Linked DNA regions of Solanum lycopersicum. The protein of the gene in region 1 binds, or shares a complex with, the protein of each later gene. Links are inferred from orthologs where the notes say so. Each region holds a gene or a part of one and is shown on either strand. Other genes may lie near its edges. The genes, in order: small ribosomal subunit protein uS10c, small ribosomal subunit protein bS6c alpha, small ribosomal subunit protein cS23, small ribosomal subunit protein bTHXc, small ribosomal subunit protein cS23-like and 30S ribosomal protein S13.

Region 1 (4,079 bases):
ATTTAGAATAGTTGATAGATAGACGTAATACTACAATCCCATTTTTGTGTAGCCAAAATATTTGTGCCAGTTGAGAATAGTTGATCCTCTAACAACATGCCTGCATTCTTTTTCTCTTTGGTAATAATTAAGAATGTCAATGTTTGTGGGAGCAGCTGGTTGATTCAGTATGTATTATTCTCTGAATTTCAAGACATTAAGATTGCATCATATGATTCATAAGATTTACTTATATGGAATATTGACCACTATGGTTTTCTTTTCTACCGGTAAGAGTGCAATACATGGTGTGTGGGTTACGTGCATGTGAGGTTCCGAAAGCCTGCTTGATATTTAAGTGGAGAAGAGTATGAGTAGATGGGTAGAATACCTGGTGTGTGGGTTACGTGCACGTGAGGGTTCCAAGTTATTGCGGATGGAAGCCTACTTGATATTTAAGTGGAGAAGAGTATGAGTATGAGTAGATGGGTAGAATACATGGTGTGTGGGTTACGTGCATGTGAGGGTTTCAAGTTATTGCGGATGCAGCCTACTTGATATTTAAGTGGAGAAGAGTACGAGTAAATGGGTAGAATACATGGTGTGTGGGTTACGTGCATGTGAGGGTTCTAAGTTTTTGCGGATGAAAGCCTACTTGATATTTAAGTGGAGAAGAGTATGAGTAGATGGGTTGATTCATTATTTATCGAGTTTTTAATTGTCGTCATTTGAAGTATGAGGTTGTCCTTTCTCCTACTCAGAGAGACAATTCACTAGCGTTTTGGTGATAAAGAGTTTGAAATTTTAACTTCAAATATCTGCTTAGCCGTGAAATTTGATTAGATTTATTTTATCTTCAAATATTTCTCACGTTCCTAAAATTGATTAAGACTAGTTTTTAGGACATACTCACAAAACTTCAAATTTTCAATTTGATGAATAGCTATTTATGTCAATTTTTCCAAAATAACACAAGAATATTTTTCTTTCGGAGATAGCGATACTTTGAAGTTTGATTATCAAAAACATAATACGTAAATAAACACTTAAATTTATAAGTAAGCAGTTCAATTTTTGAGTATGTACATCTAGACACTTAATAATTGAATACTCCAACTCAAGTCACATAAATATTTATTTATGTATTATGTCAATTATCAAACATAACAAAAAAAAATTAGAAATCAAATATAAATATCTATTTATGTATTATATCAATTATCAAACGTAACAAAAAAAAAATTAGAAAATTAATTCAAATGTTGTCCAAATACTAGGTAAATATTTGGGCCTAAGAAGCAATAAAAAAAGGGAAAATACATAATAAGGATAAGCCTTGTACAGAAAATTGTATAGTTATTTCTCTTCTTCGGATAAGCTTTAAAACACAGAAAAATTGAAGAAGCTCCTAAGGAGGAGAGCTCCAATCTCCATTAGAGACCAAATTCGAACTTTAGTGAATACCCAAATGGCGATTTCATCGTCTTCACTCTCAGCAGCTCTTTTTCCAATGTGTAATTCATCTTCCATTTCTGCACAACCCAAGTTTTCTCTTCTGTCTTTGCATTCAAATTCTGTTAAGTTACAAGTTTTCAACCAATCTCGAGTGTCTACAACTAAGGTTTTTGCTTCTCCTGAAGTTTTGGATGCCCAGAATGTTGAAGCTGATGTTGAGGTTTGTTAATTATTTGGGCTATTTTCAGTAGACTATACTGTGTGGTTAACATTAAAAAAAATGCTTTTTTTTTGCTGAATTATTGTTGGGTATTCGTCTTTCTACTGAATTGTTGCTGGGTATTCCTCATTTTACTGTATTGTTGCTGGGTATTCGTCTTTTTACTGAATTGTTGCTGGGTATTCGTCTTTTACTGAATTGTTGCTGGTTGTTCCTCATTTTGCTGAATCGATGTTGAGTATTTGTCATTTTGCTTTATTTATAGGATATTCTAGCTGCTTCAACGCTGAGTATTGGTGGTGACTCTGACAAGGTAAACTTTTTCTCTTCCAGTCCTTTAATTTTTTAATTACTAACTGTGGTGTCTGGACCAACTTGCCCGCACTTGGTACCTCTGGGAAGCACTGGTATCAGGTAACTCTGTCTACCGACAAAGGCGAATGTAGCCTCATAGAGCCAACTACTATGATGTTGAGTATAAATATAAAGTTTGTAGAGGTTCACTGAGACTACAACAATTAGTAGGTCTTAATCCATAACTTTTAAAATATTGTAGATTCGATGCTAAAACCCATAGAGTTCAAATTCTGAATCCACCTATATATACCAAGGTTTGAATAGATGGAAAAAATCAACTAGTGCATTTGCCTATCCTAAATTAGTTGAGTTTGCGTATAAGGAATCTTGTGTACACATTCACCATTATTGAGGTGGGGTGGAGATGGTTCAGTGAAAGTAGACTATTTTAGTGAATCTATCTCAATCTGTAACCTTTATTCGCTTGGGACACCGCTGTGCTTTTTGTGAAGTTCATATAGGCAGTGTTTTTAGGGGGTGATGTTTGATGACTCGTGATTCCTTCTGAGATTTCTGCATTGCTTTATGTTATGTGCATTTTGTTTCTATCTAAGAGAATGTAGTCAAGATTTTGCCAATGTATTATGACTAAGATGTTTCCATTTAAACCGTTTATCTCTCATGTAGAAGTTTACACACTAGACAAGTCTTAGGAATCAACCATTTACTGTTTATACAGTATTGGTGTTTGTAACTGATCACTCAAGCTTATTTTTGTTTGTGTTGGTGTGAACACATCTTTTTTTTTGAATTTTATGCTGCAGCCTTAATTGAGATGGATACTTCTTTTTTGTTGGTAACAGTTATGAAATAGGATAGAGCTGTATGTTTGTCCATAGTCTTAATGAAATATTTGTTGTTTGTTTTCTTCTTTGGCTAGTGACTTTAAAATGTATTAGAATGATAACATTCTTTTGCTTGGTGCTGACAAAAGCTAGCCTCATGGCTGGAGGAGAACATGGGGACATGAAAAAAAGAATAGTTGTGACATGCAGATTATCACATCAGAAAACTACTCTATCTATACCACTTAGTGAAGCAACCCTAAAATTCACTTGCAGTGAATTGGAATTTTCTTATAGGGAAATTTGCAATGATGATATAATCTGCTCAACAGCCAGGCAACTTTTGATAAATGAGCGTACAAAGTTCTTCACTGTTAGATTCCTCAAATTGGTGATTGTGGAACCAATTGGTCTTCCTCAGTTACTGAAAGTCTTAAGTAACCTGGAGCTTTAGTAGTGAATTGATTATCTCTTAGCCGTCTCCTCTAAGTAATTGTGTGCGCTGAATAATTTTCTTCTAAGAATTTTTATTGATGCATCAAGAAGCAAAAGTACAGAAATTTGTCTAATGGATAAAGCATGCACGAGCTACATCTAATGCTTTTCGGACCTTTCACTACTGTGTTGGGATGCTTCATTATTATAGTAACAAGGTCATTAATATTACTCCTAGTGTACAATCCTCTTCAAGGATAAATTTGAGTTGTATTTCTCTCTGGCTACTAAGTAACATTGATCGGAAAATATTATTGGTTGAAATGTTCACTTCTATCAAGACTACTTTCATAAAGGTTTGATTAAAGCGATTTTTTGGTTCACTTATTTGCTTGATAGTAATTGTGTTCAGCTATGAATTCTAAAAGAAAATCTTTGAATCATTTCTAGAAGTCCATGTAAGCTGAAAAAATATTAGAATTATAGTGAAACTGGAAGGTGGTGGGTTGCACAGGAGTATGCTGTTTTTAATGAAACTGGAAAGGTCATTGCAGATTCCGCCTTTAACTCTCACTTAGTTATGAATTTTACGAACAGGCTTCCCTCAGTTTATAAGTTTTATCTGTGGGAGTCCCTGCAAAAATATTATTTCAAAGTTAGGATGGACTTGGAAAAGTTATTGTTCGATATGCAAGAGGTGTAAGCACCATGAGGTGTGAAGTGATCTCGGGCTTCTCCTTCCAGCTCTTGGATACTTATTCAGTACGAGTTAAATCTATGAACTTCGCTGAGAAGCGTCCAGTGGCTGTTCTAATTCAGCATTAAGCTCATCGTGGCTGTGTAGTATC
Region 2 (3,963 bases), on another chromosome or scaffold:
TATATCGACTGCCAGTTTCTAAGCTTGTTAAAGATGTGCCAGCCTAGAACTTGTATACCCCCTTCACAGAATAGCTAAGTGGACGGAAATGCTAAATATTTGATCTTCAGTGTGACAAGTTCGAATCATAATGGCCTCTTGGCTACTCTTGCTCAGTTTTTTCGCTCTTTTACTTCTACCTATTAACCATGTGTAGGAGAAAGAACCCGTTTTTTGTAGATACTGATGTAAGACCTATTACTAGTATAGATATAGATAGTAGTTCTGAATACTGAATGCTTCTAGGAGAGTGATGAGGGGTCAAAAGAGACTGGATTTTGATCTTTCTAGCAACAAAAAACAGCATACCCAGTGTGATCCCATCAGGTTTGGGGAGGGTGATGTGTATGCATGCCTTGTGAAGGATACACCTTGCTGCTCATGTAAATTCTTCTAACCCAGTAAACTATTACCCTGTTTTGGGTGTTGGGCTCATGTCATAACTCATAAGCCAATATCTTTGTTTTGTGGATATATACTTAATATATACACCTGCTTCCACTTCTATTGCAAACTTCCAATTATCCTTTTTATCTTCTATTTTCATAAATGGAAGATCCAATTGATATATTCAATTAGTCATTCGTCAAGTACATTGCCAACAACATAATCATGTACAAGATCACAATTCTCGATTCAACAAACATAACTCGAACAATGCAATTTGATTTAACATATAGAAAGTGCTATGTTTTTGTTATGCTAAATACATTACAATAGATTCTTTGTTCATTAGGAGATCTTCACCAAATTATTTATTCAAAACTTTGCTTACTTCTACCTCCTTATACTATAGTTAAGAGGGAACACAAACTGCCAATAAATAAATAAATATGGCCTCTTATAGTCACTTTAACTTGGTTAATTTTGATTTTGATCCTTATAATATCGAACTAAACACATTTAATCTTGAATTGATTAATTCTTTTAAAGAGGATTAAAGTATTTTTAGACGAATATTACCGTAAAACATGAAATACCAATACAATTTCATATTATATGAAAATTAAGTGATAGAACAATTAACCATCACTTTCAATTAATTAAAAATAAATCAAATTTAATCCATGACTTAAATTTTGCAAGAAAAAAATAAAAAGAAAGGAGTAAAGTAGCATTTACAAGTCTTGAGGGTATCTAAACAAAAAAAAAGCAATAAATTTCACTTGTACAATTTTACCAACTCAGAACTGAAAATTGTGAATTTCCTCTTTCTTATCCACTTTATCTCCCTCAAGAATGGCGTCTTCTTCTTCTTCTCCATCAGTACTTCCATCTCTTACCTCCACTCTCTCTTCTTCTAAACCTTCAATACCCTTCAACTTCAAAGGTTTCACCAAAAGGGTCAACAATTCTGGGCAAATCTTGAAAGCCCAAACTCTAGAATTTTCGGGCTCGTTTTTCGAGGGTGGATTTGGAGGAGGAAATGCTGATGAACCACCGACTACACCATGGTCGGGTATTTCTGCAGTTGAAGATAAAGAGGAACCGCAGTGTCCACCTGGGTTACGCCCTTATGAAACAATGGTGGTATTGAGACCTGATATGTCTGAAGATGAAAGACTTGCTCTTACCCAGAAATACGAAGAGGTAACAATGATTGTTTTTGTTTTTGGAAACTGATATAACTTGCAAGGTGCTAAGCTCAATTTGGGTGGATTCTAAGTTTTCAATTGCTGATTTGACTGTTTGAGCATTAGAGTTGAAGTTGAGAGTTCTAAAGATTGAATTTTTGAAACTAATATACTGTTTCTTTCCATTTTGTTTGGCGCATTTTGCTTATTTAGGGTCAATTTGATTGACTTTTGGAGATAAATTGAACTAGACTAATTCCTTTTGTATGAGAAAGTATTATAATTCTCTTAGTATCCCGAGTGTTCTCCGGAAACAGCCTCTTTACCTCCAATATATAGGTGTATGGTCTGCGTATACTCTACCCACAGACCCCTCTTGTGATGTTTCACTGTTTTTTTGTTGTTGTTATTGTAATTTTCTTAGTATCTATGCTGAAGGCAAAGAATAAATTTTTAATATGTTTGTCATAGTTCATGAATGAGAAGTGAAGGTTGCCACACATTAGGACTGAAGGAGTAAGTATTTTTATCAGAAGTTGAGCTGCATATAGTATCATTTGATACTCTTCAGCTGATTTCATTGTGAACTGGGAAATGAAGATAATTATACTCATTTGAAACAGGGAGATCATTTAGGAAACAGAACAAGTGATTGATATTTGGTTTGACATGATGAGAATTTCTTCCATTCCCCTCTCTTGGCTAAAAAAACTGTTTTTTTTCTTTCTTTGTCTGCTAAGAGGCGGAAACCTGAAAGCAAAAGCAATATCGACCTTGCAATTTATTTAAGCACAAGATTGTCCAAGAATATTCTTCCTTTTTGTTTTTTTGTCTACTCACTAGAAGGCCATTCTTTGGAAAAATCAGATATTTGAACCTAACAACAGTCAACAGTGTTTGGGTGCATAATTCAACATTTTGTTATAATTTAAGCTGACATGGACATGATCTAAGTAAGAAGAAAGTTAGTCTCAGCTTCTGCTACAATTTTCATTCTTCTTGTTCCCATGTAAGAGCTTTCATTTTTAATCTTGTTCTTTTTCTCTATCTGCTTTTCGAGTCCAAAAGCCTTGGTCTGATGACTATTATCACCTTATCATTCTTCTTTGTGAACATGGATGATCATTGTATTTTTGTTTGCCCATCTCATTTTTGATGTTATAGTCGACGTCTATAAGAAAAATAGGCTTGCAAAGCTGCGGAGGACAATAATAGAAGTACTTAAAGTTGATGAAACTCTATTTTCTACATGACCCGTTTACTACTGTATTTCCGTTTCTTACTGATTGTTGTTTTGTTTCACTTGAGCCGAGGGTCTATTTGGAATAGCTCTATACCTTTACTAGGTAGGGGCAAGGCTGCGTACCCACCAACATCCCCATATCCCGCATGTGGGATTGCACTGAGTATGAAAGGACTTAAAGTTGATTAAACTATCTGTCATCTTTCACCTACAAATGATTGGGGAAACTTTCACTTAGTTAAATCCCTGATAAGCTTGAAGAGAGAAAAAAGTTAAGCATCAGCACACGTGTCTTTGTTCTATGTTTGTTCCAACATTTACTGCGTTTCAGCTTTTGCCTAACAGGTCAATCAAATAGACACACTTGTAAGTGCCAATGTTTCCCATGTTTTGTGTTTCTCTTTGTCAGATACTCCGTCTAACCAACCAAAGAAACTCTCTTCAACATGGTATCGGATCAGGCTCTCATTGCCACACATTATCAAAAAAGGATTTACACAAGTCCACACGTGAAGGGAAATATTAAAATTATACTTGACCATCTCATCTAAAAGTACATAATAGACTTATAGTAACTCTGTTATGGATTGAACAGTTCTAACTAATATTGTCTCCGATCAATTTCAGTTGTACATGCTATTTGACGATGCAAGTTATAATCTTTTGTTTTTCTTTCTCTTGGGCAGTTGCTGGTTGCTGGTGGTGGTATGTATGTGGAAGTCTTCAACCGAGGGGTTATTCCACTTGCATACAGCATTAGGAGGAAAAACAAAGCTGGAGAGACAAATACGTACTTGGACGGTATCTACCTCCTGTTCACTTATTTTACTAAACCTGAATCCATTGTAGCTCTTGAGGCAACATTGGTAGCTGATGATGATGTTATCCGGTCGTCCACTTTCAAGATTAGGAAAAGAAAATACTAGTTTGGTTGGTTAGTTTAATTTGTGTATCTGTTCAGTTGTAAAAGACGATAACAGAGAGCAGGCAAGTTTTCCTCATCGCGCCTTTCAGATGTTTAAGTCATGACAGTCCTTTTCACAGCAAAACAGTATCAATTTGTAACATTCTTTTATATTACTGAAAGTTGCCATTACATTCTGCTCA
Region 3 (3,438 bases), on another chromosome or scaffold:
CGAACCTTCATTTTATCCAGTCCATTTCAATTATGCAATGTACGATATCATCATCAATCTCCGTTCTTCCGGGATACGACACCTCTAGCCCAATATTAGCTCTTAGGAAAAATAAAACCAAGCGTCACATTGATCATAAAAATATACTTTTTTGTGTATGTAAAGGGCAAATTATAAGTATGAATTGAATTAGTGGTTTCTTCAAATTTGCAACTCATTTTGATCACTTCATAATTAATATGACTAATATTAATATTATTATTTTTTTATTATATGATTTTGTCAATATCATAAAATTCAGCTCAAGTAATGTTTTTTCTTCATAAACTTGAATGAGTAGTACGCATGGACATATATATCAAAAGTCGTCTCTTTTACTAATTATGTAGAAAATGACATTGAAAGAAAAATATTTATGATATATGAACTTCATTTTCAATTTTTTTTCAGATCTTATTAAAAAGATGGCTTTTTATTAATACCAATAAGAAAGAATGTAGCTCTAGGACATTCTTAATATGCCCCTCTTTTGTTAATATTAGAGATTTAATTTCACGAATAGTCAAAGAGGCATACATATATCACACTCATCCACATGTTCAAGGCGCAACATCTATCTCAAAAAATGATTTTCTAAAAATAATAATGATAGACGTGTTAAAAAAGTAATGTGAAGTCATTGTCGAGAGAGTTGCTGACTAATGACCTAAAAAAGTACGTAACATTTGAGAAGCACGAACAATCTTCACCCATGAGATACATTCTACTTTTTTTTGAATAATCAGATAATATTGATCAATTTGATTAGGGATGACAAAATTAATCTATAAAAATCTGATACTCATAAGTTTTGTCTACTAAGAATTGTAAACTTGATAAAAGTTGAACATATTAGACTACGACAAAATACTAACCCATCTTATCTCAAATTTATAATCTTCAAACAAATCGATACCACTCGTTTATCAACACAACTTTAACTCTCAAAAAATTGTTCAATCCGCTCGTTTGACATCCCGAATCAACTCAACGTTGCTAAATATACAAAATTAGTAAAGCTATGATAACTAATGATCATATTTCTTTTGGGCCCAAATCCCATAACATGACCAAAGTCCTCACCCATAGGCCTCTTAGCCCAATTTAAACAACTTTCATTTTTTTTCTTCTATTACCTTATCCATTCTATCATTATCTCAAATTCTCTATACACACTCTTTTTAAGGCCACAATTTTCCCACTTCACTTTTTTTCATCACTAGACAAATATTTTTTTTATCTACACAAAAAATGTTATCAATGTCTGTTCAATCTAGCTTGAAAGGCAATTTGAGTATCCCTTCTTTACCTTCACAAAATCCAGGTTATAAATCCTTCAAATCATGTTCTTCATTATCTTTTAACAACAAAGGTTTATCAACAAGAAGAATTCATAAGATTTTTGCTTCAGCAGTTGCAGAAGCAGAATCAGTTGAAGTTGAGACTTCAGAGTCTGTTGTTCAAGAAATTGAGGTAAAAAATCAGCTCTTTAATTTTCAATTAGGTAACTTTTTTCGATAACTTAGTGTCTAGATTAGTTTTTGCGCTACTCAATTAATTTCATGAATGGTAGTGTTACTTCTCACTAGTAAAATTGAGTAATCTTTGTCTGATTTTGACTTGATACGTAATTTAAGAATGTAAATACTCCCTCAATCCATCTTTACTTGGTCATTATATTAAAAATAGTCGTCTAACAATACTTGTCCAATTTGAAAAACATGAAAACCCTTGATATTGAATACTACTATTCAATATATAATACATTTTCCAAAGCATCAAATTTATATTCAAAGGATAATATAGTAATATTTTAGAATCATTTGATATATACGACAAATCTAGAATTTTTAAGTCTTTGAATTCACTTTTACTATGATTATTTAACACGTACTGTGTTGTTCGACTTTTCTAAATATGAAATGGTAGTCCAACAACTTCTTAATGAAAATGAGTAATAACTAGCAAATTTATGAATGTTTTAATTAATAAAAAAAAGGCATAATTGGGGAAATATATTGATCATTTAGCTAAAAACAGAACAAAAATGGAGTTAAATTATAGCATTACCTATAAATATAAGTTATGTTTCGACAAAAACTAGATATATCAATTCGTACCCTCGAGCCCTAAAATTTTAGTGATGATGAATTCAACCTCTAGATCAAACATTTGTGTCATATACTTGCACCCGTACCAAAACAACATAATGTATGTACATATTGACCCAAAAATAACAGATTCAGTTGAACACTTGAACACATTTAACTCATCCTAGCTAGATACGCCTATGACAAAATCCAATCTCTGACTTCCACCCGTGTCAAATACTCAAACTCGTATTGAAACGTCTACATTATTAAAGATGAAAATAAGAAGTTCAGTTGAATGCACATAATTCATTCCAGATACGTACGACTATATAAATAATAAGCCCAAAAAAGGATAGGATATTATGTTTTGATATCTTATAGTGAATTCTTGGATATATTTTTTTCAGAAAGTTGATATGAAGAAAAAGGTAATTGAGAAGCCAAGGCTAGTGCTAAAATTCATATGGATGGAGAAAAATATTGGACTTGGCCTTGATCAAGTTTTACCAGACCATGGAAGTGTACCATTAAGTCCATATTTTTTTTGGCCTAGAAAAGATGCATGGGAAGAGTTGAAAACAACACTAGAGAGTAAGCCATGGATATCACAAAAGCAAATGATTATTTTGCTTAATCAAGCTACTGATATTATCAATTTGTGGCAGCAGAGTGGTGGAAATTTGACCTAATTGTTGTTTTTGGTATTTATTTGTAGACAAATTGTTTCAACTTTCTGTTTTTGTTTTATCTTATTTTTAACTGTACTATAGTTGATGGAGAATACAATTGGAATCATTTTTGTTTCATTTTTTAAATTGTTTAATGTGTTCTGACTGGACGATAAGATAATCAAAATTTGTGAATAATTTAATAAGATAGGTGAAATGAAGATAGTATCAACAAGTTTTATACGCACAAAATTGAAACCATGGCCGATTTTGTTTTCTTTTAATTCAATATATTTTTTAGCGATTGTTCATCTTCCACCGCCCGTTATATTTGGACTTTATTATGAACTAAAAGCCCGTAAAGTCTCTCTAGTTGGGTTGGTTCATCCTAACAAGGCCCATGGGCTCTATGGCAACTCTCACTTGAAACTTGCGATGGAAGAATCCTCTTTTCGTAATTAGTGGCTATACTAAGGGTAAGTTCCCGCGATGTTCAACTACGACATCGTATAAAGGCCTTCGTGCCCAATGTTTCCTGTGAATTCGAAGTACAGAAATTTTGACAGAAGTTTTTTTTCCCGCGCTCTGTGAATTCTCCAATCCATGGCTCCTAAAGCAGATAACACTGAAGGTAACTT
Region 4 (3,515 bases), on another chromosome or scaffold:
TGGTGACCCAAACAAAAGAAGTTTTTTTGTGACTGGATTTGCTCACTCACATCTTGACTAATTCTTCGAGGTAAAGGTTACCTCCAACCAGCACAGATATGGAGTAATTCTATCCACGAAGGTCTAAATAAGAACCACCTAGGGGTCATTTGGTAGGATGTATTAGCTATGACATTTTTTGATCCTTTCTTTGTTCGAGGCCAAAGTGCCCTTGATAATATATCAAACCAAATAGTGGGTAGGAAATAGCTCCAACATAACTAATCCCAGCATTAGTAATACACTATATATTACTATTCTTATACACTCTACAAAAAGACCTCCTAATGTGTTTGTCTCCGCTAGTATATGAACCTAAAACCTCGTGGTTTTCAACCCATAAGGAATGTGGGGTTCTCTAAGCTTTTCACTTTTCTCAATAGCTAAAGTAGTGACTATTACCACTTGTCTACTGAAGGTTGCTAGAACCAAAATGCATAATTTAACAGGACACAAGAGCATTTAAACGAAGACCCTTCAAGCAAACTAGAAATCTCAGTCCAAATGATTAACTTAATCGATATTTCAATGAAATAAACAAAGTAGTAGAAGATTAGAGCTACATAAAAATGAAATTGCTCCTCCGAGAAAACTATGGGTCATGTATTTCAATTTTAACGACTTGGCCATCATCAAATGGATCTCTCTTTGGTGCTGCTGGTGGTGCTGCAACCCTAGGTGGTCCTCTTCCCTTCTTCTTGTTCCTTGGCCTTGCCTAAACCAATTCATACCATCGGAATCAGTTCAAAATAACAACAAAAAATGTCGAAACAACTGTTGTTTTTTCACTATTTCTGTCAAATCTAACGAACATAAATTGTTAAACGTATGATGATAACACTCTAAACTTCAAAGTACTAAAAATTGGTTAGAGCATATTTAACAGACTATTTTGAATCTATCATCAACATTGGTGGTTAACGAAGAGGGTCGAGAATCATGAGGTTTCAGGTTCAAATTCTATCAGAGACAAAATAACACTAGGTAATTTATCCCATCTATTGATAAAATTAGTCGAGATGCATCTAGGTTGCAATCAAAAATAAACTTCAAAACTTTTTAGGGGTCAATTCGTCTAAATGTATGAACAATTGAATCTCAGTATAAAATTCTATAATATTAAAAGCATTAAACTCCTGCATTAATTATGCAAAACCTTATGCACCAATAATCTTATTCCAAGTGAATCTATAAATCATTTTATATGGAATTAACATTCATTTAATCAAATATGAGTTAAAAAATTATTCATATTAAGTAATTTGTGTTGATATCTTATTTATCAATTTCAACAAAACACATACTTCTCTTTTCTAAAATTTAAAGGCATAAATACATTAAATATCTCATGGAATTATTTATTCATCTTCGATACACTCGTTATTTTAAGCCAATACCTTTAACTCAAATATGCAATAAATTTAATCTCAAATTCTATTTCGAGATTATTATTCTTATTCCACGTATCAAACTAGAATGTTAGTGTAGGATTCTCCTAATATAGAGGAGGTAAGTGTTTGTTTATAAAATATACAGGGGTGTATCTGAAACTAAATCATATTAAGGAGGTCTTATCCTGCAATAAACCAAAATATACAAACTCACATTGCCAAAGGAGTGATTGAACCGCTTGCCTTTCGCCGTCTTCTTATCACCTCTACCGCAGTAAACTGAAAATGAAATCAAATCAAAATTTCAATTTCTCGAACTGAAACTTCAATCATCACAAAATTTTCACAAACAATAAATTCGAAAAGGTATGTGATTCGTACCCAATGGGAGATTTGAATCAGTGAGAGACGAAAACGAAATTGATGGTGAAGGAGATGCCGCCGTAATTGAAACGCTGCCGGCGACGGAGTGAGAACGAGAGAATGATAAATTAGGAGAAAGAGAAGCCATGGATTGAACAGTACTCATAGGAACTGAACCAACTAACAACGACGCCATTGCAGCAGCTCAACTGATAGAATTGAGATTTTATTTGTGGTGGTTCTATAGCTTCTTATTCTGTTTCTAGATAATGTGCCCTTTGTCTTTTTTTTATTCAAATACCCCTGAATTAAGGTAAAATTCACTTATTTTTCCTTGTTTTTTTTTTTTAAAAAAAAAAACGTTAAGAGTTACTTGGATGGTAAATACCATTCATTTTAAACTTTAAAATTGTGAATTCAAGTTATCAGAAGATCAATTATTTTTTATGTAAAAGTATATCAAGCAATAAACTGAGACCTGAAAAGGATTGTTTGGAACGAGAAATAAGGAATAATAGTGTTATCTCAAACTCTATCTGTTCCTATTTAGTTGTCCATTTTAGAAATGACAAACATATTAATATAGCAATAATTAGAATAGTGAAGTTACAATTTTGCCCTTATTAATTATGATTTCGAAAAAGATGAATTAAAACTTAAAAATTTTCAGGAAGCTTAAATAAGAATATAATAAGAAAAAAAATTATCTTTTTTTATGTGTGAAAATAGACAAATAAATTGCAAAATGAGACGGAGGGAGTATAAATATAGTTAGATTTCATCACATACATAAAGAAATTTTAACATATATAATAATTAAGAGAAGTAATGAGATAATAGTACACCTCTATGACAGACTACTTGTCTACATTAACAAAGATATTTATTCAAAATTACTTGTCAAATTAAAAAATTAATTCTATTTTTTTCCATTTTGCACCTTAAATCGACTCTTTTTGATTAAAAATATAAATATTGTAAAGTTCCTCTTTTGTTATTAACAGATAAAGACACAAAAAATAGAATTTATGAAAAATAATTATAACAGTAAATTAGTAAAAAAATAAATATTTTTAATATTTCTTAAAAGACAAGAAAAAAGAAAAAAATGTACGTTGATATACAATGTAGGAAGTAACACAATGATTAATCATACAAGACATTCCCAATTGATTATAATTTTTTTTTTACCAAACTCACTCAAAAATACAAAAATATATTAATAACAAGTCAGTCAAAAGATGAAATACCCTACTCTACAAAAATTTGAGAACTCAATTCACTTATTATCGACCACAAAATTGACCTCGAACTATGACAGTACAGATTCATATAGTCGACCTCAACTTGTTTGGTACTGAACCGTAGATGTTGTTGTTGGTGGTGGTGAACAGCTCCCATGCAAATCACTCTACTCAATCTAGACACAGAAAATCAAGAACAAATAATATAGCCATTTCCCTACAGAAAAAAAACACAATAGATCGATCATTCACGTTAGTATTTATTCAAATATGTGATTTAAATCGACGTCTTGAGGAACTTCTTCTCCACTCTGTAGTTAAAATTACCAGAAGCATAAGGGAATCTCACCATTTTTCTCCTTAGTTTGATGCATTTCTTGAACAATTTTTCTCTGTTACGACTAAACTTCTTCACCCTTCTTGTTATTGATAGAAGAAGTACTACTTGGAAGGAAACAAGTTTCCTCGCCACCCGTGT
Region 5 (3,937 bases), on another chromosome or scaffold:
GTGGCTCTGCCATTGAATACGATACATTATGTGACAATACATAACAATTATTCAAACAAAGTGGAAGACTTCAAAGGATTATTGAACATTTTATCTACAAGTGTATTGTCTCTATGAAGTAGAGAGACCAGCAACAGAATCTAATGGTATATCTCTAAATCTGAACCAATCAATAACATGAAAACTGAATTGGACAACTTACCTGGTGATTGATGTCTCTAACGAAGAAGAAGAAACTCCAATTAGAAGGATATTGAATGAGAAGGAAAAATGAAAAAAATTGAAGTGAATTTAAAGCCAAAAAAGAAAGGGTTATTGAAGATTTACGTGTTTCACGGGTTGACCCGTTTTAAAGGACTGTTTGGTGTGGCTGCTTGTTAGAGTCGCGCTGGCTTTCACGGTTTTCTTTTGGGTTAGTTTACTCCAAAACTACACTTTTTGACCATTTTGTATTTGGCCTCCTCTTTTCTTTTTTTTCCTCTTTATTCGATTCGAGTTAATTATTCTAACATATTTTATGTTATTGCGATTCATAGATGATATTGATATACATTATAATATTATGATATATTGATTTATTTTACGAGTTTTGATCACTTTATCAAAAAAGAAAGACTTCATTTTAAAGGGAGTGAAGGGTATTTAAAAGTGGAGTCGTAAATATTCTAGGTCCCTTCTTAGCCGCTGAATCACTATAATTTCTGGTTTCGTTAAACCTTTTACCATCCATTGTATCACAATCATCTTAAGGATAGAGAACCAAGTTTATTTTTTTCTTTGAATAAAATGTCCAGACATAGAATAATCATTTGAGTAAGCATTGTTGTTACAATATAATCTCATTGTTAGAAATATATCCTATCTAAAATTATCCAAAAATTGTACTCCAATCCACAAATAACATATAATTCAGAAATTTTAGGCTATTGTTGCAATTATATCGGCCTAAATTAGCCTGAAATTAGTCCAAATAATTAAACAATAACCTAAAGTATAGTCCCAACACTAAAGTTTGCTAAGTTAATTTTTGGTGGATATTCGATAGTTTATAAAGTTTAGTATCATGATCCGTCACTTTTAAAGTCGAAATCCGTGATATTAGGCTATCATTTAAATAGATTTACCCAACCCCAAAAAATCCGGGTCGGGTTATATTGTGTCGGATCTTTTTTTCTTATCTAGACTTTGATGAAGAACACAACACAATGACAGAGAAGCTCTGAGTTTCCCCTTAGCTGTTGAAAATGATGTTATCAATGGCTACACAGCTTACTGTGAATTGGGTTCCTGCGTTTTCTTCTCAAAACCAATTTTTTTCACCCAAATTTGTCTTCTTTACAAAGGGGCAGTCTTTTTCTCGACGTTCTAATGTCTCAGCAATCGTACCCAGAAGAAATCTTGGGGGTTTTGCTACTTCAGCTGCGGCTGCCTTGAGTTTTGCTGAAGAAACATCGACCCGTGATTCTATTTCCTCAGATTCTCTTCAAAAAGAGGTAATTTTCACTCTCTGACTTCCCTCTTAGGTGTTGTTTGGTAGAGTGTGTATAAGTATCAGTAATGCTGCGATTATTTCCTATCCATTGTTTGGTTTCTGTTTGTTAACCAACCAACACCTGCACAACTGGCCCTTGTTTTCGGGGGCGAGCTTAGTGCACCAGGCTGTGGACAGTACATGGTCCAGAGGGAGCTTAGTGCATCGCGCTGCCCGTTATAATCCTTTAGTTTTTTGTTGAATTGTGGGAAGTGAACCATCCTCTTAATGTTAAAAGATTTTGCATCCAAGGGTGTGTCTTAATTGTCAATAGAACTAGAATGAAAAAGATTACAATGGAAGACCATGTAATAATCCACCAGAGGCACTATGAAGAATAATATGTAGTTTCTTCCGATTTGGGGATCGCCTGGAAATTGGAATACTAATTTTAAAAAAGAAAAGTTGTAAGCTTAGGAATAATGGGGCAGATTTATTTATAGGAAAAGGGCCAATTTTTCTCTTGAACTATTTGAAATAAGATTACTTTGTTGTCCGTTTCGGTTTTTGGCACAAAAATACCTTTGCCATTAGCTGGCTTGATAAATCACATTCTTACTATGCTATCATCTTTTAAGTTGATCAAAGTGTAAGTTTGTATTCAGTTATATCATAACATTCAATCTCTCCGTACTAGCGTAAAGTAGATATTCGAGTTAACTTTATACTATGGGAACGTTATTAGTATCTTTTTTCAGTTGACAGGAAAAAGGTCTTTCTCGTAAAAGATAGCATTAATTTGTGAAGATTTGCTATCAAGAACAAGTTCTTAATACCTAATCAATATTCATTAATGACCAAGCAAATAAATTTGTTTTCGTTAGGGATGATATATAAAATGTTAAACATGACCAGATGCCTCATTGGTTCCAAAATTTTGTGGGTGATATTGACTTTGTTTAAGGACTGGAGGATAACTTTGTCCCTTTTCCATCTGAGTGGGACAACCGTTAGTGAGTAGGGAAATTTTGAGCCACTTGGCTAACAGCGATGGCATTTTTGTTTCATAAAACGAAATGGAGGACATAATTGTCCTATTTCAAAAATTTAAAAAGCAAAATTGGTCTTTTATCTTTATTTTTATTATGTCTGAAAGGCTGCAACAGATCTCCACGGGTTTGATTAGTTTTCTTTTCCGATTCTTTTTTCTTGAACCAAGTTGATGGATGACGGTTCAAACCAGTGCATCTGTCGTTTTAATACGATGTTGGGTGAATGTCTCATTTAGTTGTTTAACCTGTTAAAAAAAATTGTTTTTATTTATTTTGTTATGTATGCAACACGTCTCCTCGGCTCTGTTTCTTTCTTGGACCAAATTGATGGCTGGTTCTTCGTACCAATGCATCTGTGTACTTTAATACTATGCTGCGTGAATGTCTCAAGACATTTATAAGTTCAATGGTTAGAGACGAACTGCTTTGATTTACATAGTTATGTCTGCAATATCTTTATTTTGGTGTTTGATTCTCATTTTATTTAGTTTTTTAAGAATTTCATAATATTTGCACCATTTTCATTATGGTGTTTGGCTCTTACAATCTGCTGGATGTACAGAAGCTCGGTGTGTTGGTCAAGCCACTGGAGAAACCTAGGCTAGTGTTGAAGTTTATTTGGATGGAGAAGAACATCGGAATTTCACTAGACCAGGTAATTCCTGGTCATGGCACGATTCCGTTGAGCCCCTACTATTTTTGGCCTAGAAAAGATGCTTGGGAGGAACTTAAAGTCATGCTCGAGAGTAAACCATGGATATCCCAGAAACAGGCAATTATTCTTCTTAATCAGGCCACGGATATCATCAATTTGTGGCAACAGAGTGGTGGTGATTTAGCCTAAGCCTTCATAGAACAAGATTTGTCATGCTGCCACTGTTCATCATTTATCTTTAGCAATCATGCCTGTTATGTTGTAACTTTTTTCACTTGAAAGGTCAGTCAAAACTTATTCAATTTGTTTGTTTAGATTTTCCTCTTGTTTCCTTTAGTTTTTGGATCATATTGTAAACTATATATCTTAAAATGTTAGCCTTGGTTCTTCATGAATATTAACATCTAACAGAAACAAAATTAAATTGTACTGATGGTAGGAATTTATCTATGTTGAGTATCGCACGTCGTGGGGATAGTACGCTCATTTGGTCTCTTTATATAGTCTTGGCTAATCCTTCTCCATTTGCTAGGTCCAAGATTCATTTCTCATCAAAGGTATCTAATCCAGACCCATCGCAATTCATCGTTTTCGATGTTGGCCCCATCATATATTGTTAAAGTGTCCCTCATTGGTTGGGATAGGGTCATTTGGTATCCTTATATGGTCTTGGACTATCCCTTTAATGAGTTAAGTTTTGGGGTTGAATTAGGCTAGTGATTTATATTTCTTACCATATAGCTTGGGGTTGAACAACGA
Region 6 (3,648 bases), on another chromosome or scaffold:
TCTGAACATCATCACTATTGAAAAACAGAAGTCATGGTCTTCAAGAAACCTGAGAAAAGTGAACCTTCTTGAGTACTAAAGGGGTGGGACTTAACTTTCATGCTCATGCATGTGACAAAAAGGTGCCACAAACTCTATGCTTTTAGTTAATTCTCAAAATGACCTAACGAGTCATTACATTAACAATGCTATGACTCAAATTGTAAAACTTTGGTATCACATTAATGCAAATACTTGGCCCAAACACATTACTGAACTTGAAGCTTAAACCAAGGCTCATAGATAGGGACTGCACTTCATAGGTCGTTACATCAACAATTATTATGACACCTAACGTAACTTAACAAACCTTTCTCCTGTCAACCAAATCATCCAATCAGAATAACGTAAATTCGCAATTACTCCACATGAAACACATTTAACAAGATTTAAGGAAGAGATTATGCCTAAGCATCAACATTCTTCTTGAAAAGCTCTTATCTTGAAATGTAGAAAAATGATTTCAATGGAAAAAACTGTTTATAACAAACAAATGCACAGTTTGCCATAGGAATATAGAGTGTAACTTTTACAAGTTAGTTACCAAAAGAAATGAAAAATCGATCTTGATTTAACGAGGTGCCTTCTTCTTCCCTGCAATTGCTACTTTCTTGCCCTTCAAAGTACGGCAATTGTTCTTTGTTCGTTGTCCTCTGCAAGGCAATCCTTGGATGTGCCTTACTCCTCTATAGCACTGAATCTCCTTCAACCTCCTAATGGCAAGAGCATTGAATCTCCTCTGATGCCAACACCACAAGTATGTAATCAATTTTCCCGTTTCAAATAGGAAGCCGAAGCATCAATCAAACAAACAACCTTATACACAAGAATCTCAATCAACATTGCCAATTGCTAAACAAGCTATCGATTTCTTCTGAAATACATTTCCATAAGAACTGTTTAATTTGGGATAAGGCTGTGATGCATATAGAAGCCATGATCCTACATACCCACCTAACAATAACTCCCCTTGTTTCGATTTGTTTGTCCGGATTTGACTTGACACAAAGTTTAAGAAAGTAAAGAAGATTTTTCGATCTTCTGGTTTTAATCTCAAGATATGTAGAATGCAGTTTCAGCTCAAATATGGTTCTTTCCATGTAAAAGTTGGACCAAAGATTGGTTTAAGATATTGTTTTTTTGGTTCAATTCCTATCTTGAGACAAAATGAATTAAATTTCTTAGAACCCCAAATGGCATTAAGTTAAACTATAGAGCTAAAATAAACAGCAACCACAGCAAAGTTACATGAACTAGATATCGAAATCAAATTACCTAAGCATATAAGTTTCAATAAGGATATGCACATTGGAACGAAAACAAATGAGTACAAATTAGAGCAATGAAACTCACAAGGTCTCCTTCAATCATGTACTTAGAGACTTCTTCACGAAGAGTGATAAGTTCCTCTTCCGACATGTCTTTCATCACTTTGTTCTCCATTTGAAGGTCTACCAGAATCTGGCGTGCAGTGGTGCGGCCAATTCCATGAATGTATTGCAAAGAGAACTCAACTCTTTTGTTGTTTGGAACTTCCACTCCTCCCACACGCACACACTTTATAACCAAACCTGCAGTCTACACAAAACTCATTTCAGTTCAAACTCAAAATCATGGAAAATTTAGCAAAACCCAATTTAATTCCAACTCAAAAAAGTCCAAAAATATGAAAAATAAGCAAACCTCAATTCAATCCCACCTCAAAAAAACGGAAACTTTAGCAAAAAAAACTCATGTTGGGTTACTGAGAAAATTTCGAAAAATCCAAAAACTCATTCCAATTCCTACTCAGGTAAAAAAAAAAGTAATCTTTAGCAAAACCCATGTTTGGTTACTGAGAAAATTGCGAGAAAAAAAAAGACAAACCCCATTCCAATTCCTACACGAAAAAGGTCAAAAAATGTAAACTTCAGCAAACTCCATGTTTGATTACTGCAAATTTCAAGAGAAGGGAGTGAAGTGTACCTTTGGAAAAGATGTGGGAGTAGAAAAAGAGAGGGAACTGTGCTTGGAGATGGAAGATGTGTTGCAGATAAGGGAAAGAGAAGGAAGTACAGGAGTTGCTAGTGTTTGCGCCATTGTTGAAAATCTTGATTGATGAAGAAATTGAAGAAGGAAGAAGATAGAGCCTTTTGCTGGTCTATTTTTCTTATCCTATTGGGGAAAATTGGATAGGGAATGGAGTTCTTCTTTTCGACCTGGTTTGCTAATATGGAGCCCCGGTTGTTCTTTTTTTTTTTTTTTTAAATTTTATTTTATTAATATGGTATTCGGGCTAGTTTTCATGCACTCGACTAAATTCACCGATGTCTATCATACTGTCACCTCCCAATAAGGATGTGGAAAAATCGAATCGATCAATAAACCTATTAAAAAAATGTTATTGGGTTATTGAATTATTGAGTTAATGGATTTTTAACGGATCTATAAAGGGTTTTTGATTAGGTATCAATTTTTAGTATTTGGTTATTGGATGAATCGATAACTCATTAAGACGATAGTAATTTATTACTATGCACTTTATAAATATTATTAATAATTTAACATAACTAGACATTATATCAGTACTCTACACATTTTACACGTCACATTACTTCTATTTTACATCTGAAATTTCATATTATGTTTTGGTTGTAACATGTAATTGTAGCCTTCGTATTACATCTAATTGAAATGAAGAAAATATTAGCTTTACAAAGAAATCTCTACATTTCATTTCTGATATCGCTCTTTTTATCTAAGGCCTAACCTAAATTTGGGGCGATAGAAATGCGAGTTGAAAATAAATTTACATGATCACTTACCAATTGAATAAAAAGAAAATTGATCTTTTAAAATTTTGTAGGCATAAAAATAAAGATCTCTCATGGGCAACAATAAAAAATTCTTATAAACAACATAAGATTAGAAGTGGTTATAAAATAATAAAGCAAGAACAAGAAGAATATTTTAGAGAAAATTAGAGAGAACCTATTTTTAAAGTAAAGAATTTTATAAATTTTAATACTCCATTAATTTAGTAATTTTAATATTATAAGATTATAACTAATAAATTTCATGACTTACTAATCCTATAAATTACATCTTAATGGGTACTTCAAACGATTCTTATGAGTTGTGAGTAATTTACTTTATAAATTCCTAAAAATAAAACACCTTCCAATTGCAAAATCCTACGAATTTGCTAGCAATAACTAATAACTGTTTATGCGGCATTATAAATAGCAACTTAATTGCCACCCATTGAAAAAATTAAAATTTATCCATATTAGATGTTTATCGCAAATAAATAAATGCATAATATGTATATGTATTGAAACATACACAATAATTTTAATTTATGATTAATTAACATGTATTTCTACTTTATTAAATCATTAAATTTAATTTATTTTTAAATATAAATTGTGGCGTAATGATGAAATTGTGTCACCCTTAATCAGATGTTTCACGTTTAAAATCTTAGGTATGAGGAAAGTTTTGCTGGGAGTGCCACTCTTGAATGAGTCCACAATGCGCCGCGATCAGAATTTGTCGGGGCTCTAATTAATTGCAAGTTCAAGCCCTAGGTATCAAGAAAATTTTGTTAGGAACGTCACTCTTGAATAA

What was found.
Region 2: small ribosomal subunit protein uS10c (region 1) and small ribosomal subunit protein bS6c alpha share a complex: the UniProt entries of both Arabidopsis thaliana proteins name them as parts of the 30S ribosomal subunit. The link is inferred for Solanum lycopersicum from reciprocal best matches to the Arabidopsis thaliana genes AT3G13120 and AT1G64510.
Region 3: small ribosomal subunit protein uS10c (region 1) and small ribosomal subunit protein cS23 share a complex: the UniProt entries of both Arabidopsis thaliana proteins name them as parts of the 30S ribosomal subunit. The link is inferred for Solanum lycopersicum from reciprocal best matches to the Arabidopsis thaliana genes AT3G13120 and PSRP3/1.
Region 4: small ribosomal subunit protein uS10c (region 1) and small ribosomal subunit protein bTHXc share a complex: the UniProt entries of both Arabidopsis thaliana proteins name them as parts of the 30S ribosomal subunit. The link is inferred for Solanum lycopersicum from reciprocal best matches to the Arabidopsis thaliana genes AT3G13120 and PSRP4.
Region 5: small ribosomal subunit protein uS10c (region 1) and small ribosomal subunit protein cS23-like share a complex: the UniProt entries of both Arabidopsis thaliana proteins name them as parts of the 30S ribosomal subunit. The link is inferred for Solanum lycopersicum from reciprocal best matches to the Arabidopsis thaliana genes AT3G13120 and PSRP3/2.
Region 6: small ribosomal subunit protein uS10c (region 1) and 30S ribosomal protein S13 share a complex: the UniProt entries of both Arabidopsis thaliana proteins name them as parts of the 30S ribosomal subunit. The link is inferred for Solanum lycopersicum from reciprocal best matches to the Arabidopsis thaliana genes AT3G13120 and EMB3137.

What each region holds. Positions count from the first base shown.
Region 1 is NC_090809.1:1,050,946-1,055,024, forward strand, and holds the start of small ribosomal subunit protein uS10c, read left to right. Parts: upstream 1-1,279; 5' UTR 1,280-1,447; coding exon 1,448-1,654; intron 1,655-1,919; coding exon 1,920-1,967; intron 1,968-4,079.
Region 2 is NC_090807.1:67,612,550-67,616,512, reverse strand, and holds the start of small ribosomal subunit protein bS6c alpha, read left to right. Parts: upstream 1-1,163; 5' UTR 1,164-1,278; coding exon 1,279-1,629; intron 1,630-3,542; coding exon 3,543-3,782; 3' UTR 3,783-3,963. UniProt on the Arabidopsis thaliana protein: Binds together with bS18 to 16S ribosomal RNA.
Region 3 is NC_090804.1:4,043,275-4,046,712, reverse strand, and holds small ribosomal subunit protein cS23, read left to right. Parts: upstream 1-1,203; 5' UTR 1,204-1,290; coding exon 1,291-1,512; intron 1,513-2,539; coding exon 2,540-2,821; 3' UTR 2,822-2,938; downstream 2,939-3,438. Other genes in the region: homologous-pairing protein 2 homolog, read left to right, coding at 3,404-3,431. UniProt on the Arabidopsis thaliana protein: Component of the chloroplast ribosome (chloro-ribosome), a dedicated translation machinery responsible for the synthesis of chloroplast genome-encoded proteins, including proteins of the transcription and translation machinery and components of the photosynthetic apparatus.
Region 4 is NC_090804.1:66,172,055-66,175,569, reverse strand, and holds small ribosomal subunit protein bTHXc, read right to left. Parts: upstream 2,213-3,515; 5' UTR 1,990-2,212; coding exon 1,812-1,989; intron 1,710-1,811; coding exon 1,645-1,709; intron 755-1,644; coding exon 632-754; 3' UTR 501-631; downstream 1-500. Other genes in the region: uncharacterized protein, read right to left, coding at 3,439-3,515.
Region 5 is NC_090802.1:7,166,588-7,170,524, forward strand, and holds small ribosomal subunit protein cS23-like, read left to right. Parts: upstream 1-1,137; 5' UTR 1,138-1,244; coding exon 1,245-1,493; intron 1,494-3,085; coding exon 3,086-3,367; 3' UTR 3,368-3,573; downstream 3,574-3,937. UniProt on the Arabidopsis thaliana protein: Component of the chloroplast ribosome (chloro-ribosome), a dedicated translation machinery responsible for the synthesis of chloroplast genome-encoded proteins, including proteins of the transcription and translation machinery and components of the photosynthetic apparatus.
Region 6 is NC_090804.1:939,423-943,070, reverse strand, and holds 30S ribosomal protein S13, read right to left. Parts: upstream 2,198-3,648; 5' UTR 2,119-2,197; coding exon 2,005-2,118; intron 1,618-2,004; coding exon 1,393-1,617; intron 779-1,392; coding exon 611-778; 3' UTR 501-610; downstream 1-500. UniProt on the Arabidopsis thaliana protein: Located at the top of the head of the 30S subunit, it contacts several helices of the 16S rRNA.